2 linked regions of the Lonchura striata genome follow. The protein of the gene in region 1 binds, or shares a complex with, the protein of each later gene. Links are inferred from orthologs where the notes say so. Each region holds a gene or a part of one and is shown in the gene's direction. Other genes may lie near its edges.

The links. The genes of interacting proteins can lie anywhere in the genome.
Region 2: the proteins of CTSK (region 1) and cystatin are in contact, whole or in part, in a crystal structure (PDB 8V57), measured with the Mus musculus proteins. The link is inferred for Lonchura striata from reciprocal best matches to the Homo sapiens genes CTSK and CST3. Residues at the interface, in NP_031828.2 of Mus musculus: Asn132, Gln133, Gly134, Gln135, Cys136, Gly137, Cys139, Trp140, Glu173, Asn174, Tyr175, Cys177, Gly178, Gly179, Gly180, Tyr181, Met182, Ser248, Ala251, Ser252, Gln257, Phe258, Val274, Asn275, His276, Ala277, Ser297, Trp298, Ser301, Trp302; in NP_034106.2 of Mus musculus: Pro27, Arg28, Met29, Leu30, Gly31, Ala32, Pro33, Gln75, Leu76, Val77, Ala78, Val80, Asn81, Tyr122, Pro125, Trp126, Lys127, Thr133.

Annotation. Positions count from the first base shown.
Region 1 is NC_134635.1:2,853,365-2,860,270, reverse strand, and holds CTSK (cathepsin K), read left to right. Parts: upstream 1-3,892; 5' UTR 3,893-3,996; intron 3,997-4,553; 5' UTR 4,554-4,572; coding exon 4,573-4,698; intron 4,699-4,814; coding exon 4,815-4,937; intron 4,938-5,026; coding exon 5,027-5,182; intron 5,183-5,252; coding exon 5,253-5,471; intron 5,472-5,549; coding exon 5,550-5,715; intron 5,716-5,798; coding exon 5,799-5,904; intron 5,905-5,985; coding exon 5,986-6,085; 3' UTR 6,086-6,504; downstream 6,505-6,906. Other genes in the region: ARNT (aryl hydrocarbon receptor nuclear translocator), read left to right, coding at 180-269. UniProt on the Homo sapiens protein: Thiol protease involved in osteoclastic bone resorption and may participate partially in the disorder of bone remodeling. Displays potent endoprotease activity against fibrinogen at acid pH. May play an important role in extracellular matrix degradation.
Region 2 is NC_134605.1:22,612,274-22,619,027, forward strand, and holds cystatin, read left to right. Parts: upstream 1-3,974; 5' UTR 3,975-4,002; coding exon 4,003-4,242; intron 4,243-4,715; coding exon 4,716-4,829; intron 4,830-5,828; coding exon 5,829-5,906; 3' UTR 5,907-6,233; downstream 6,234-6,754. UniProt on the Homo sapiens protein: As an inhibitor of cysteine proteinases, this protein is thought to serve an important physiological role as a local regulator of this enzyme activity.

The DNA of each region.
Region 1 (6,906 bases):
TCTGTTCCAGCAAACCCATTATTAAATTTCCCACATGATCATGGAGCCATGAAATTGTTGAGGTTGGAAAAACCTCTGAGATGGGAGTCCAGCTGTTCCCCCTAATTTCCAATCCAAACCTCCCTGGCACACCTCGATATTCCAGTCTGGATGCTGACTCTCTCCTTGTATCCTCACAGGACATGCTGACCATGTTGGGGGACCAAGGGCCCAACTACAACAATGAAGAATTCCCAGAGCTGAATATATTCCCTTCTTTTTCCGAATAAAACAAGCCTTAGGGGAAACAACATAAAGCTCTCTACAATATCCACATGTAAAGGAAAACAGCAGAGTCTTTTTCTCAAGGAACTGTCTAAACACTTCCCACCTTCTGGAAGCAGAGCTCCAAGGAGGGATGGCCATGGAAGAGGAGGTGGTTTGGACACCTCCTCCATGTGGGATTGTTCTGGAAGCTTCAGGACTTGAGTGCCATGAGGCCGAGGGCTCCCAGAGCCACTCCCGAGTGGATTCTTTTTTGGGAGAGATTCCTGTCTGGATCACAGACAGCCCTTCCAAACTTTTAAGGTGGCTTTGACTGTTTTTATTTCATTCTCTGCCGTGACTTTTTGTATAAAACACAAACTATTGGAATTTTTGTAATACTGGAAGGAACTCTTCCAAGTGTTATCCCTGTAAACACAATCCTGGAGAATGCTTGAGTAAGAATCCGTGTCCTAAGCCAGTGTTTTCCTCCTTTTTGGAGGAATTTTGGCTGTTTTTGGAGGGTTGTTACAGCGTCTCCAGTCCAGGGTGCTCCGTGTGGAGATTCCTGTGTTTGTTTGGAATCTCCTCTCCTGTGAACTGTGCAATGAAATCAGTGTGACCCATGATCCCTCGTTACCCAGAATAATTAACAAGCCATAAAAATATTACCCCATGTAGCTTTCTTCTGGATGAATCCATTTTCCAGCTGATGGTTTCTGTGCTGCCACAAATGGACGTTTCAAGAGGTTTTTTGGGATAAAACCTGCTCCACGCTGTCCATGGAATTTTATCACATGTAGATGAGTTCCTTGTCCTCGTTTTGGAGCTGGATGTAGGAGAATCCCTGGATTTGATCAGGGAATTGCTGAGGAACTGTGTATTTTCACTACATTTGCTCACTCACCATCTCCTTAAAGAAGAATTCCTGCCATGGGATGATCCTGTTGCCAAATGACAAAGAGTAAGAGGAGAGCTGGAAAAGTAGGGAACAGAATGAAATTTTTTATATATATATATATATATCTATATATATAAATTTTTAATTTTTAAACATTGACTTGGAATCTTCTGGCTTTTTCCATGGAAAAAAAACAAACAACTTGTGGCCAACCCTGCTCTCCTCAGGGGCTGGAAGAACCATTTGATTCCTTCTTGCTTCAATTCCAACAGGAAGATGAATTGCAGAGTTGGACTTGGAAAGAAATTTGGCTCAACAGCAGCTGGGGAAGAATCCCAAGTGTTCCTGGAAGCCTGGTTTTGTTTTGAATGGAATGTGGGTGTTCCCCCCTTTTTCCTGCATGTCGAGGGGGGGCTCTGGGACCCCCAGGCTGGTTGTGAGTGTTCTCTCTGCTGGCTGAGGGCAAGAATGGGGGGAGCCCCCCTTTTCCAAGACCTGATTCCAGAGCTGTCATTCCTGACAAATCCACGTAGGAAGCTTTGAAACCTTTGTGTCACCAGCCCAGAGAGATTCCTCTTGTAAGTGGAGCAGGAAGCTTTATTTTTCCCTCCCCTTTTCCCTCTGGAAAATTAAGACTTGAAGGTTTTGTTTTAGTTGTTTGTTTTTTGGGTCTTTTTAATTCCAAAGTTCTCTATGGATAAGTGGGAACATCCCATTTGAAGACATCCTGTGATCCACCCTGTCCCATTATCCAGGGAGCTTGTTCCCAGCAATAACCTCCTCCCCAGCATCCCATCACATCCTGGGCCCTTCCCCTTTAGTTCTGAAAGGAGAAGGAAAATTCCCATTTCCCTGAGCCCTTGCAGGTCCTGTGGCTGTATCCCCCCCCAGATTTTCCAGATCCTGGGAGAAGGAAACCAGGAGCAGTCAAATCTGTTGGGAAGGAGGATGAGGAGCAGCTAACAGGGTTCCCAGGGGCTGCTGCATGTGGGACAAGGACAGGGGACGGGCTGGGCCCTTTCCCCCTCTTTGGGAACTCCAGTGTTTGTCCTGGGGTGGAATTTTATCCTACATTCCCTGGGGGGACAGGAGCTGAACCCCCCCCAGGTGTGTCCCAGCCTCAGGTATCTCGGCCTGGTGGATTCTGGACAGCAGAGATTTTCCAACAGGAGATTTTCCCACAAGAGATTTTCCCTTTTCCCAGCCTTTGTCTCATTTCTGCCTCTTTCTGTCCCCATCTTGAGGAATGTCCCTAAATCCCCATCCCCTCCCCGCTCTGGCCCCAACTCTCATTCCCTCCTTGTTTTGTCCCTTTGGCCCCCAAGCCCCTATCCCCCCATTTTCCCCCCCATAATCCTCCTCCTCCCATTTTGCCCCAAGCCCTCGTCCTCCCCCATTTCCCCGTTGGTCCCCTCGGTTCCCGGTCACTCGCTGCCACGTCAGGGCCTCGTGCTCCGGGCGATGATTCTGCCCTGGAGCCCCGGGGTGACTCAGCCCCCCTGTCCCCACAGAGCTTCGGGTCACAGGGGGGTGGCCCCTCTCCTGGGGACCCCCGTGGGGTAGGGGTGACAGGGACGCACCCCCACCTTGGTGCTGCTCCATCCCCCCCCTCCCCTCCTGGTCGCTGGGCTGGTTCCTCCTCGTTCCCGTGGCTGGAGGGTGACAGCGATGATGATGTGGATGTCCCCAGCGTGACACATCTGGGATGGCTCTGGTGCCACCAGGCCCCTCCGCCTTGTCGTGGCAGGAGCCGCGTGACGAGGTGACGGTCACTGCAGAAAGCACCGTCCGGCCCCACCTCCCCCGGCCAGGGACCCCCAAACTGGGAGGCAGCCCCGGGTTGGGGACACTGGGGACAAGAGCTGGGGTCCCGTCCTCCGCTCCTGCTGGCACACGATGTCCCCGAGCTGCCGTGTCCGGCTGCTCCTGAAGGAAGTGGGTGCTCAGCTCCATCCGATTCGGCCACGGGGAGGACTTGGGGACAACGTGGGAGTTCCCCAGGGCGGCAGAATGTCCCCAGGGTGGGATGCTGGGACAAGACAATGTCCCCAGCGTGGGATTCCAGGACAAAAGAATGTCCCCAGGGCAGCAGGACATCCCCAAGTTGGGATGCCAGGACAGGAGGGTGTCCCTGGGGCCGGGATCCTTGGGACAGGAGGGTGTCCCCAGGGCAGAATGCTGGGACTGGAGAACGTCCCGGGACAGGAGAACATCCCGGGGACAGGAGGACGTCCCGGGGACAGGAGGATGTCCCGGGGACAGGAGAATATCCCAGGGACAGGAGAACATCCCAGGGACAGGAGGGTGTCCCGGGGACAGGAGCATGTCCCGGGGACAGGAGAACATCCCGGGGACAGGAGGGTGTCCCGGGGACAAGAGAACGTCCCGGGGACAGGAGCATGTCCCGGGGACAGGAGGACGTCCCGGGGACAGGAGAATATCCCAGGGACAGGAGAATATCCCAGGGACAGGAGAACATCCCGGGGACAGGAGAACATCTCGGGGACAGGAGAACATCCCAGGGACAGGAGAATATCCCGGGGACAGGAGAACATCCCGGGGACAGGAGAACATCCCGGGGACAGGAGAACATCCCGGCGACAGGAGGATGTCCCGGGCAGGACCCGCCGCCCGCCCCGCGCCGGGGCTGACTCAGCTCCTCCCGCAGCATCACGTGAAGCCGGGGCAGCCCCCTCGTCCCCCCTCCTTGTCCCCTCCTTCCCATCCGAACCCGATGTTTGCCAAAATTTTCCGGCCGCCTCCAAACTTCCTCAATCCAGCAGCATAAAAGCGCAGCGGCCGCGGCTCCCGCAGGCCCCGTCCCGGCGCTCCCACCGACGGCTCCGTGCTGGGTAAGCGGCGGGGAGGGGTCCCCCAGGGGGGCGCTGGGTGGCTTTTTCCCCAGGGAAATGGATCCCAGGGGGAATGGGAGGGAATCGGCTCCCGTGTGCGACCCTCGGAGGCACGAAAAGGGAAACTGAGGCACTTGACGTCCAGCCGGCCTGGGGATCCCCGGCTCGGGGAAGTGTCCCGGGTCCTGCCGTGCCACGGGGGGCTGGGGGCGCTGGGTGAAGCCAGGGAGGGGCAGGATGGGGGAACGTTCTCCCTCCTGCACCCTCGGCATCCCAAATCTCCCCCCTGGCTCCGGGTAACGGGAACCGGCTGTCCCGGCTCATGTGATGCCGGCGCCCGGCCAGCCCTGCCCGCGGGGGTGTCCTGGCCCCAAACCCAGGCAGGAAGGGGTCCCAGTCCCCAGCCAGGGTTGGCAGCGGGTCCCAGCCCCAAATCAGGGTGCGCAAGGGGTCCTGGCCCCAAATCGGGGTGTGCAGGAGGTTCTGTTCCCACAGGAGGGTGGGCTCAGGGTCCTGCCCCCAGCCGGACCCCTGGCTCAGCCTGTGCCCTGTCCCAGTGCTCAGCTGGTCCCCAGGATGTGGTGGCCCGTGCTGCTGGCCCTGCTGGTCCCGGCGGCGCTGGCCCAGCTGCACCCGGAGCCGGAGCTGGACGCGCAGTGGGAGCTGTGGAAAAAAACCCACCGCAAGCAATACAACGGGCAGGTACGGGGGGGCCCGGTGCTTGGGACCCCCAGGGTGGGGAGTGGGGCACAAGGATGTCCCGAGGGTGGGGGGCACAAGCAGGACCCCTGTGCCAGCACCATCTGCCCCCGGTGCAGGCGGACGAGGTGACGCGGAGGCTGATTTGGGAGAAGAACCTCAAATACATCAACACCCACAACCTGGAGCATTCCCTGGGCATCCACACCTTCGAGCTGGCCATGAACCACCTGGGTGACATGGTGGGTGTCCCTGGCAGGGGAGACAGTGGGGCTGAGCACCCGTGGGTGCTCCCACCCACCCTGCTCACCCACCGGGGCTCCTTCCCCAGACCAGCGAGGAGGTGGTGAGGACAATGACAGGGCTGAAGGTGCCCCGCGGTCACCAACGCCACAACGAGACACTCTTTGTCCCCGACTGGACCGAGAGAGCCCCGGCTGCCATGGACTGGCGCAAGAAAGGCTATGTGACCCCTGTCAAGAACCAGGTAAGACAGGTGAGTCTGGAGCAGGCGTCACCCCGGTGTCACCCCGGTGTCACCCCTTGTGTCCCCACAGGGCCAGTGTGGCTCGTGCTGGGCTTTCAGCTCGGTGGGTGCCCTGGAGGGGCAGCTGAAGAGGAAAACGGGGAAACTGCTGTCCCTCAGCCCCCAAAACCTGGTGGACTGCGTGGCCAACAACGACGGCTGCGGGGGCGGGTACATGACCAACGCCTTCGAGTACGTCCGGCAGAACCGCGGCATCGACTCCGAGGACTCCTATCCCTACATTGGCCAGGTGTGAGGGGGCACAGCCCCAAATCCCCCTCCATCCCTCCCATCCCCATCTCACCCTGACCTTCCCGGCCCCACGCAGGACGAGAGCTGCATGTACAGCCCCACTGGGAAGGCGGCCAAGTGCCGCGGCTACCGCGAGATCCCCGAGGGGAATGAGAAGGCTTTGAAGAGGGCGGTGGCCCGGATCGGTCCCATCGCCGTGGGCATCGATGCCAGCCTGCCCTCCTTCCAGTTCTACAGCCGGGGTGAGGGGCTGGGGGCAGAGCGGGGCTCGTGGGGCTGCTCGGGGACCTGGGGCACGCCCGGTGACGCCGGCTGTGTCCCCAAGGTGTGTACTACGACGAGAGCTGCAACGCCGAGAACATCAACCACGCCGTGCTGGCCGTGGGCTACGGGGCACAGAAGGGCACCAAGCACTGGATCATCAAGAACAGGTACAGGGGTTGGGATGGCTTGGGGATTGCAGGTGGCTGGGGCTCTTCCAGAGGCTCAGGCTCTGCTTTTCCACCCTCCAGCTGGGGCGAGGAATGGGGCAACAAGGGCTACGTCCTCCTTGCCCGCAACATGAACAACGCCTGTGGTGTGGCCAACCTGGCCAGCTTCCCCAAGATGTGACCAGCCCGCCCAGCCCTTCCCTACCCACTGCCCTGCCCTCCAGCCTGGCCTCTCCCCTCCCAGTCTCACAGATGAAGGTGCTCCCAGGGGAAATTCTTTATCTCCGTGAGAAATTTCCCCTGGGAAGGGGGGAGACACCCCTCTTCACCTGCAGGGAATGGGGGATGAGCCCCTCAACTTTGTTTTCCACATTTTGCCATGCTGGATTCTGCCATCCCATGGACTGTGCTTGGCCTGATCTGTGAAGGCCAATCCACCCAGACATGCTTCAGGAAACAGCCTCTGCCTCAGGAACACTGGGGTGGAGGTGGAATATTCCCAATAGAAAAAGTAGATCCCTCTCCCTCCACCCTGTATCCCAGTGGAGGCTGCTGAGAATGATAAGACTTTTTATTTTTCAACTAAAATTGGGAATAAGGCTTGGACCAGTTTGCTTTGTGATGGGAAAGGGCCACAGGGATGGGAAAAAAAATCTTCCTTTTCCCAGAGGGGCAAAGAACCCCCTTGTGAGGCAGAATAGGGTGAGAAGAAACTGCTGGGGAATTTTGGGACGGATGGATGGATGGATGGAGTATCTGGGGAGGGGGTGGTTCTAGGAAGGACACAGGGAAGGACAGATGGGTCAGCCACGGCTGGGGGGACACCATGAGGGATTTGGGGATCTCCTGGGATTATGGCCATGAGCGGGGACACGAGTGACAATGACACTGTGGGGCCGCAAGAATGCAGGGAAGAGGTGCACAGAGACCCCTGGGGGGCACGAGGCCGTGTGTGCCCTGGGTGGGTGAGTGACCACAAGCACACCCCAAAATCAAACACAG
Region 2 (6,754 bases), on another chromosome or scaffold:
TTCACTTAAACCAGCACCCACTTTTAGTACTGTGGGTTCACTGTTTCAGTTGCACAATCTGACCATAACTGATTGCATGCAGTTATTTGAAATGCAGCTTTTCCTGCTGCCCATTACTTTGTTTACTGCTTGTGTGTAAACAACAATGCCTCCCCTCATGGGCATAAGGGCAGATTAACTACAGTAATTACTAAACAGATGTCTGCAAGTGAATACAAATTTCTTGGAGGCAGATTATCTTCTGCACTGGCATAATGGAAAGGGATTCAAAGCAGGTGCTGCTTTCATCCCACAGGTGATGTGAGCAGCTTGGGACTCAGCAGAGGGTTGTGTAGGTCCCATGCCTCTGCAGGGTGATAATCATTGACCTACTTGAGATCAGTGCTGAGAGATGTTTGGTACTTAATTCCTAAAAGTTACCACCAGTGAGTAAATAGCCCTCTAGTGCTATGTGAACTTCTTTCCTGTTACTTGGTTTTTCTGTTCCCAAGAAATCTAAGGCTGTGCTTTCAAGAGGGCTCAACACCCAGACTGAGAGCCTGTGTTTCCCAATAGCTCTATTCCCACTGAATTGTATGAAAGGTGCACTCAGCACTAAGTGCTAAGCTTATTTAGGAGTCATTGAACTTGAGAGGGGGAGTCTTTACTAATCCAGTTGTACTGCCAGCACAGAAGTATGTTTAGAGCGGCCTTTTGGTGCCCTTGAAGCCTCTCCTGGCATATACTGTTTTTCAGCTGGGCAATCACCTTGCAGCCTATCCAGAAAAGCCACTACTGGCTGTTGGCTTGTGGCAAGAACTTGTCAGTATGTGAAAGCTACTGCATGCCAGAGCAGGGACTGCTGACCACGAGTCTCAAAGGCAGGCAGAGACTCTTTCTCCCACCATCACTGAATAAGCTGGTGTGGGATGTGTTCGTTTCCATAAGCAGAGGACACTCTTCTACTGCAGTGAAATAGTTTTGCCTTTGGTATTGAATCACTCTCAGACCCAACTCATAAACTGCTGACTGTCTTGCTCAAGAGGCCTTTTTTTTTTTTTTTGTGAGACCCTTGGACTCATGTGAACATATACAAACCCGGCATTTGGTTCTGGCAGCCAGTTTGACAGAGGAAAACTTGGAAATCTAACCTTAATTTATGATTGATGTATTTTAAAAAGGAGTCAAAAAGCAGATCAAAAAGGCATTTAGAATGTATTGAGTTTGAGATATTTCAAAGGTAATCTCCTACCTGTAGGGAGCATGATTATTTTTTGTGAGCTGAGGTTTGCTATCTCATTACTGAGTGACAACAAAAGCCATTGTTCCTCCTGCAGGCTCCGTTTCTGTGTGAGAGCTGTGCAGAGATTAGAGTTCTGCAGGCTGTGCTTTCCAGCCCTACAGGAAGCAGCCAAAGGCTGTTTTCTTTAGCCAAATGCAGATAGCAGGCCTGGAGGAGAGGTACTCAGATAAAGTGAGAGGGGCTGCCACAGTGGAGATTTTTCTGGGAAGTTCAACCAAACTATGCAATTGTGTTCAAAGAATTCCCTGTGTACATGTTAGGAATTGCAAAGTTAAATTACCACATTTAAAGATATTCTTTCCATTAAGAACAGAAACCCCAAGTATTTTTTGGGCCATGAAAACTACTCTGAGGACATGGACCACAGCAACTCTACCCATTGATGTTACCATCCAACTTCCATCTGCCATTTCTGTTGTCCGTGTCTTCATGGGCTCAATCCTACAAATCTTTCCAACGGATTAAATATGGCACTTTATCTTTCAATCCCACAGACACAGAGCTGTCCATATAACTCTCCAGATGGACAGTGGCCTGGCTGACTGTACTTCACAGGAACTCTGTGCCCATACAGAAGCTTTGGCTGGAGGCTACAGTACATTTATTTGAAGGATTTTCTGCACATATGCATATCTTATAATGGTTAGAGTTGTAAAAGTGAAATTTTCATGTTTGACAACTATATTTTTGAATGGTAAAAGAGAGATGAGGGACATCAAGGGAAAGGGCAAGGGATGTAGCAGTTATATGGAGAAATTAGTAAGCTTAGTACCATAAAAAGCTCACCAGTCCTGAGTGAAATTGAAACATAGACAAAAAGGAAGATGAAAATATGTTGGATATTGCTCAAATATCAACCACAAAAGAAGATGCTAAACCACTATTTTTCTAGTTATACTGACGGCACACAGTATTATAGACTTTTGCAATGTTATCATGAGTCTTCTGCTGCTTAGTAAGTTCTTTAATTACCAGCTTCTTTATTTATCTGGTTATTCATGAATTTGTTTTATATTTTTAAAAAAGCACCTCTGATAGAGCAAGATTGTTGCACCCTGCATAAACAAGCTGACAAAGTACAGCTTTATTTCATGAACAAGGTGCCCTTTATTCATCAGCTGTAGAACATAATTTTTTTTGCCAAACCTTTTTTTCTCCTCATAATTGCTTTGTTTCATGTCCTGATTTCAGGGGGTTTGGACTGGCAATAGTCTACAACTGCTTGTTTCTGTTTGGGTGTCTGCAGGTGATTTTGGTGACATTCATTCTAGGGCTTTGAGCAGCTTGGTCTAGTGGAAGGTATCCCTGTCCATCGCAGGGGGGTTGGAGTGAAATGATCTTCGAGGTCCCTTCTAGCCAAGTCATTCTACGACTATTTCTCTTGCTACAAGAACAACCCCAATTCCTGTCAGTGTTGATAGCTCAGCTTGTTGCCAGCTGCAGGGATTTTTCCATGCTGGATATTTCTGGCATGCAGGCAGCCTTTCCAGTCAGCAGATAAGCCCTTTCCATTATAAGGCAAGTTGTGGATATCCAGGTGCAAAACCTCCTCCTCTCTCAGCCTAACAATTCCATGAGGCATTAAATCTCACTGAAGCTGGCTATAATAAGTCCTGTCTTCCCAAACTTAGGATTTCTGATGGGACGAGGGAGATGTCCTAGGGTGACGTTATGGTGCTTGTATCCCCAACAGTATGTTCTGTTTATGTCTGATATTATGTTTTGTGCTTTCAGAACTGACTGAAAGTGAAGGTTTGTTTTGTTTTGTTATCAGCCGGTTCACCTCCCCCCAGGGTCTGTTGTCTAGAAGAGGTAATGCTGCCTGGCTTGCTTTGCTTTGCTTCCTTGCTCTTGCTCCTGCTTCTGCTTCTGCCTTTGCTTTTGCTTGTTAGTTTAGCTGAACAGTCCAATTTTTTTCCCTGGACTGTTTTTTTTCCCTTTCCCTTTCCTGAATATCATTCCAAACTGCTCTGGGCTGGGACGTGGGAAACACCGAGAGCAGCAGCCATCCCCAGCGCCCAGACCCGGGCCATCATTCCCAAGAGAGACTTTCTGGATTTGTCATCTCTTCAGAGTGGTGAAAGAGTTTTGTCGTCATCTGGTGTTGTTCATTTTTTGGTGCTGGGCAGTGTTTTGTTTGTTAAATAAACAGGTTTTTTTCCCACTTCTCGCCGAGAAAATTCTTCCCGAACAAAGGGGGGGGGGGGGGGGGTGTGAGGGGGCGTGGGGGTTTGTTTTCTGGGGGCTCCTTCCAGAGGTTTTCTCCCAAATTTGTCCTAACCAGGACAGGAGATAATGTTGGTATTTCGGGAGCAGACGGGAAGCAATCCGTCTGTCTGGGAAGCCGCCTCGGCCCTTCGAAGCGTAGGTGAGGCAACACCAGCGCTGCGGAGGCAGAGGTAGGAAATTACTCAAGGTGTTTTGTGCTGGGAACACAACACCGGTAGCTTAAAATGCTCTGTGGCTTTTGTTTTCCTTTCGCAGCAGAGGGAAATAAGCACAAGAATAACCCAGGAAGAGGCAGAGTCTGGGAAAAGCCTCCAGCTTCCCGCGCCCGTGCGGAAAGCATCCTCCTCCGCTTTGCAGCGCCGCTCCCGGGGCCGGTGCAGGGGCTCGGCCGGGGCGGGGCGGGGCTCGGCCCCAAACCGCGCCCGGCCCGGCCCGGCCCGCCCCGCGGCTTTAAAATGGCGGCGGCGTGAGGGGAGCGGCAGAGCGCAGCCATGGCGGCCGGCAGGGTGTCCGCGCTGGTGCTGCTGGCGGCGGCCCTGCTCTGCTTCGCCGGCGCCGTGCGGGGCGCCGGGCTCCGCCCGCGGATGGTGGGCGCCCCGCAGCCCATCGAGAACCCCGAGAACGACGAGGGGCTGGAGCGGGCTCTGCAGTTCGCCATGACGGCGTACAACAGGGCCAGCAACGACATGTACTCCAGCCGGGTGGTGCGGGTCATCAGCGCCCAGAGGCAGGTGAGCCCGGGGGTGCTCTCTCCTAGGGGGCTGGGAGTGTGCCATATGATGGCCGGATTCCTTTGGAGAAAGGGCAGGTCGCTAGCCTGGGGGCCTCTGCAACTTTTCCCCTCACAGAAAGTGAATAAAAGCCCGTTTTTATATCTTGGCTTCTCTCAGTCTGAGTGACCTTGAGTGCTGTGCGCTGTGGAAGGAGCCAGCGGCTTCCCTGCGCTGCTCATGAGTTAACATATGTCTGTGTTTATTGCTAAGGAAGCTGCTTTGTGGGACATGTTTACTTGGATTTTGTTTCCTGTTTCTAAGGGGGTGCCAAGTGCCTCTGTAGTGGAGGTTGCCACATAAAATTCCCTCTGTACTTTCAGAGTCTGTTTTCCATCATGTAACAGGAACACTGCCCGCCTCTCTGGTTCTCGGCGGAGCGCTTCTCCGTGTGCTGTGAGTAAAGCTGCCTCTGCCTGCTTGTCTTGTTGCAGATCGTGGCTGGAGTCAAGTACATAATGGAAGTGGAGATTGCCCGGACAACCTGCACAAAGCCAGCAACTGATATCCAGCACTGTGCTTTCCATGAGGAGCCACAGATGGCCAAGGTAGGCTCCAGGGCACAGCCTGCTGACCCCCACTCTTCCCCATTTCCAGCCCTGTCCCGCTGGCTGGCTTTGTACAGATGCCTGTGGTCAGAGTCCCCTGTCTGCCCTGGCCAACATCAGAGACATAATGCCCTTATACTTAACACGGCAAAGCAAGCTTTGCCCTTGCAGAACTTGTCTTGCCAGTTGATGTCAGAGAAGGCAGGGCCTTTTAGCTGTTTTTCAAGTGGAACTCAGGCTGGAGCAGTGCATGTGTCTCAGTCCTCTTAAGAAGTAGTCATGGTCTGGATCAGAAGGGTATGTGGAGGAAACTGTGTCAGGCCTACAGGCCTCCTGGCTCTCAGTCTTCAGTCCTCATAGAATTCCTACCTCTTTTTTTTTCCCATGGTGATGTAAACATGTGTGGCATGCTTTCCTGTGGGACTTGTATTGCTGTGAATAGAGCCTTGGGCAAAGCACTGCCCAAAAGAAGCAGATCACCCCATCTCTTTGTGCCTACCAAGCACTTTGTAGTGAGTAATTGAGCTTTTTGGGTGGGAGCACCAAACATATCTGCCTTCACCTGGCCTGAGTTTTTCCATAGTGCTTAATTCCTTCTGTTGATGGCAGCAACAGGATGTATGTGCCCTTTGTTCCTGCTTATGTGAGAGGTGTAGCTGCACATAAGAGAAGCACAAAACTGGTGTGTACCATTATGGCAACTGCAGTGATTTGTCACACGTGGCTTCGCTGTGCCTATGGGCTTATGTTTGAGTGTTATTCATGCTGAAAACTTTCCTCTATGAGTGGATAAAGGAGATAATGTCAGCAGTGCTGATGCTCAGCTTTATTTCTTAGGGTTTATTTAAGAGATGTGACTTGCTCCGAGTACAAAAGTGCCGCTCCAGAGTACTTGCCTGGAGAGTGCATATCTAGAGAGCCACAGGAGTAAAGAACAGTGGTAAATGACACTCTTTCATGCTCTTAGTTTCCTAACTACTTTTTTCTTTCTTTCCTTAGCACACCATTTGCAACTTCGTAGTGTTGAATGTTCCTTGGCGAAACCAAGTGGAGCTGCTGGAGAGCAAATGCCAGTAAACCTACCTAGATTCTACCAGAGACCAGCAACCAGTTGTTCAGATTTAAAAGAAAAATGCAATAACACAAATTGAGATGGGCTTTATCAACGCCTGCAACTTGGCTACTGATGTATGCTTGTGCTATGCAAATTAAACCATGTAACTTCACTTTTAAAGCACAGTATGATCTCAACTTTTTCTTCTTTGGAATTACTATTTTAGAGCAGCTGTTTTGGTCTTCTACAGCTTTCCCAATGAATTCACTCCAGTATCAGAATTTTTATTAAAACCTCTTGGTATCCATGTTAAGTGACTACTGTAAACATAAAAAATTAATTAATTGCCATGATGTGTGGTTTTCTTTGATCTTCTGCTGCCTTGGAGGGAGGGTTTGCTTTTACTTGTCACCTATCCTGCCCTAAGAATGGGATGAGAAGAAATACTGGGTCGTGATCGCAGAGGAGACAAACCATGCCTGCTTGTTTCTTAGCTTGGCCTCTGGTTCTGAGTAAAAGATGGAAGCCCTAGCTGTTTTCACTGAAGGAACTCTGCTTTGGAGAACTCTTGATCTTGGGAATGGTTTTGGGTCCTGGCTGCTGTACTGTTCTAAGGCTGTAAGAAAGAAGGAGGCTCCCCAAGATAAAATTGCATTTTCAGGTAGTAGGGGAAGGTGCCAGGTCAAGAGAGAGTCTTGGGACTGGTGAAGGTGCTGAGGTGAACAATGGAGGAGCTTCTTGTTTTTTTCACAGTCCTGATATACAGTAAGAAATGCTTTATCTTGTGTTTTTGCTTTTCTGTATTTTGAAATAAACCTTTTCCTTTTGGTGTGAATGTCACGCATGCATACAGCAAGTCCAGCTCCTTGGG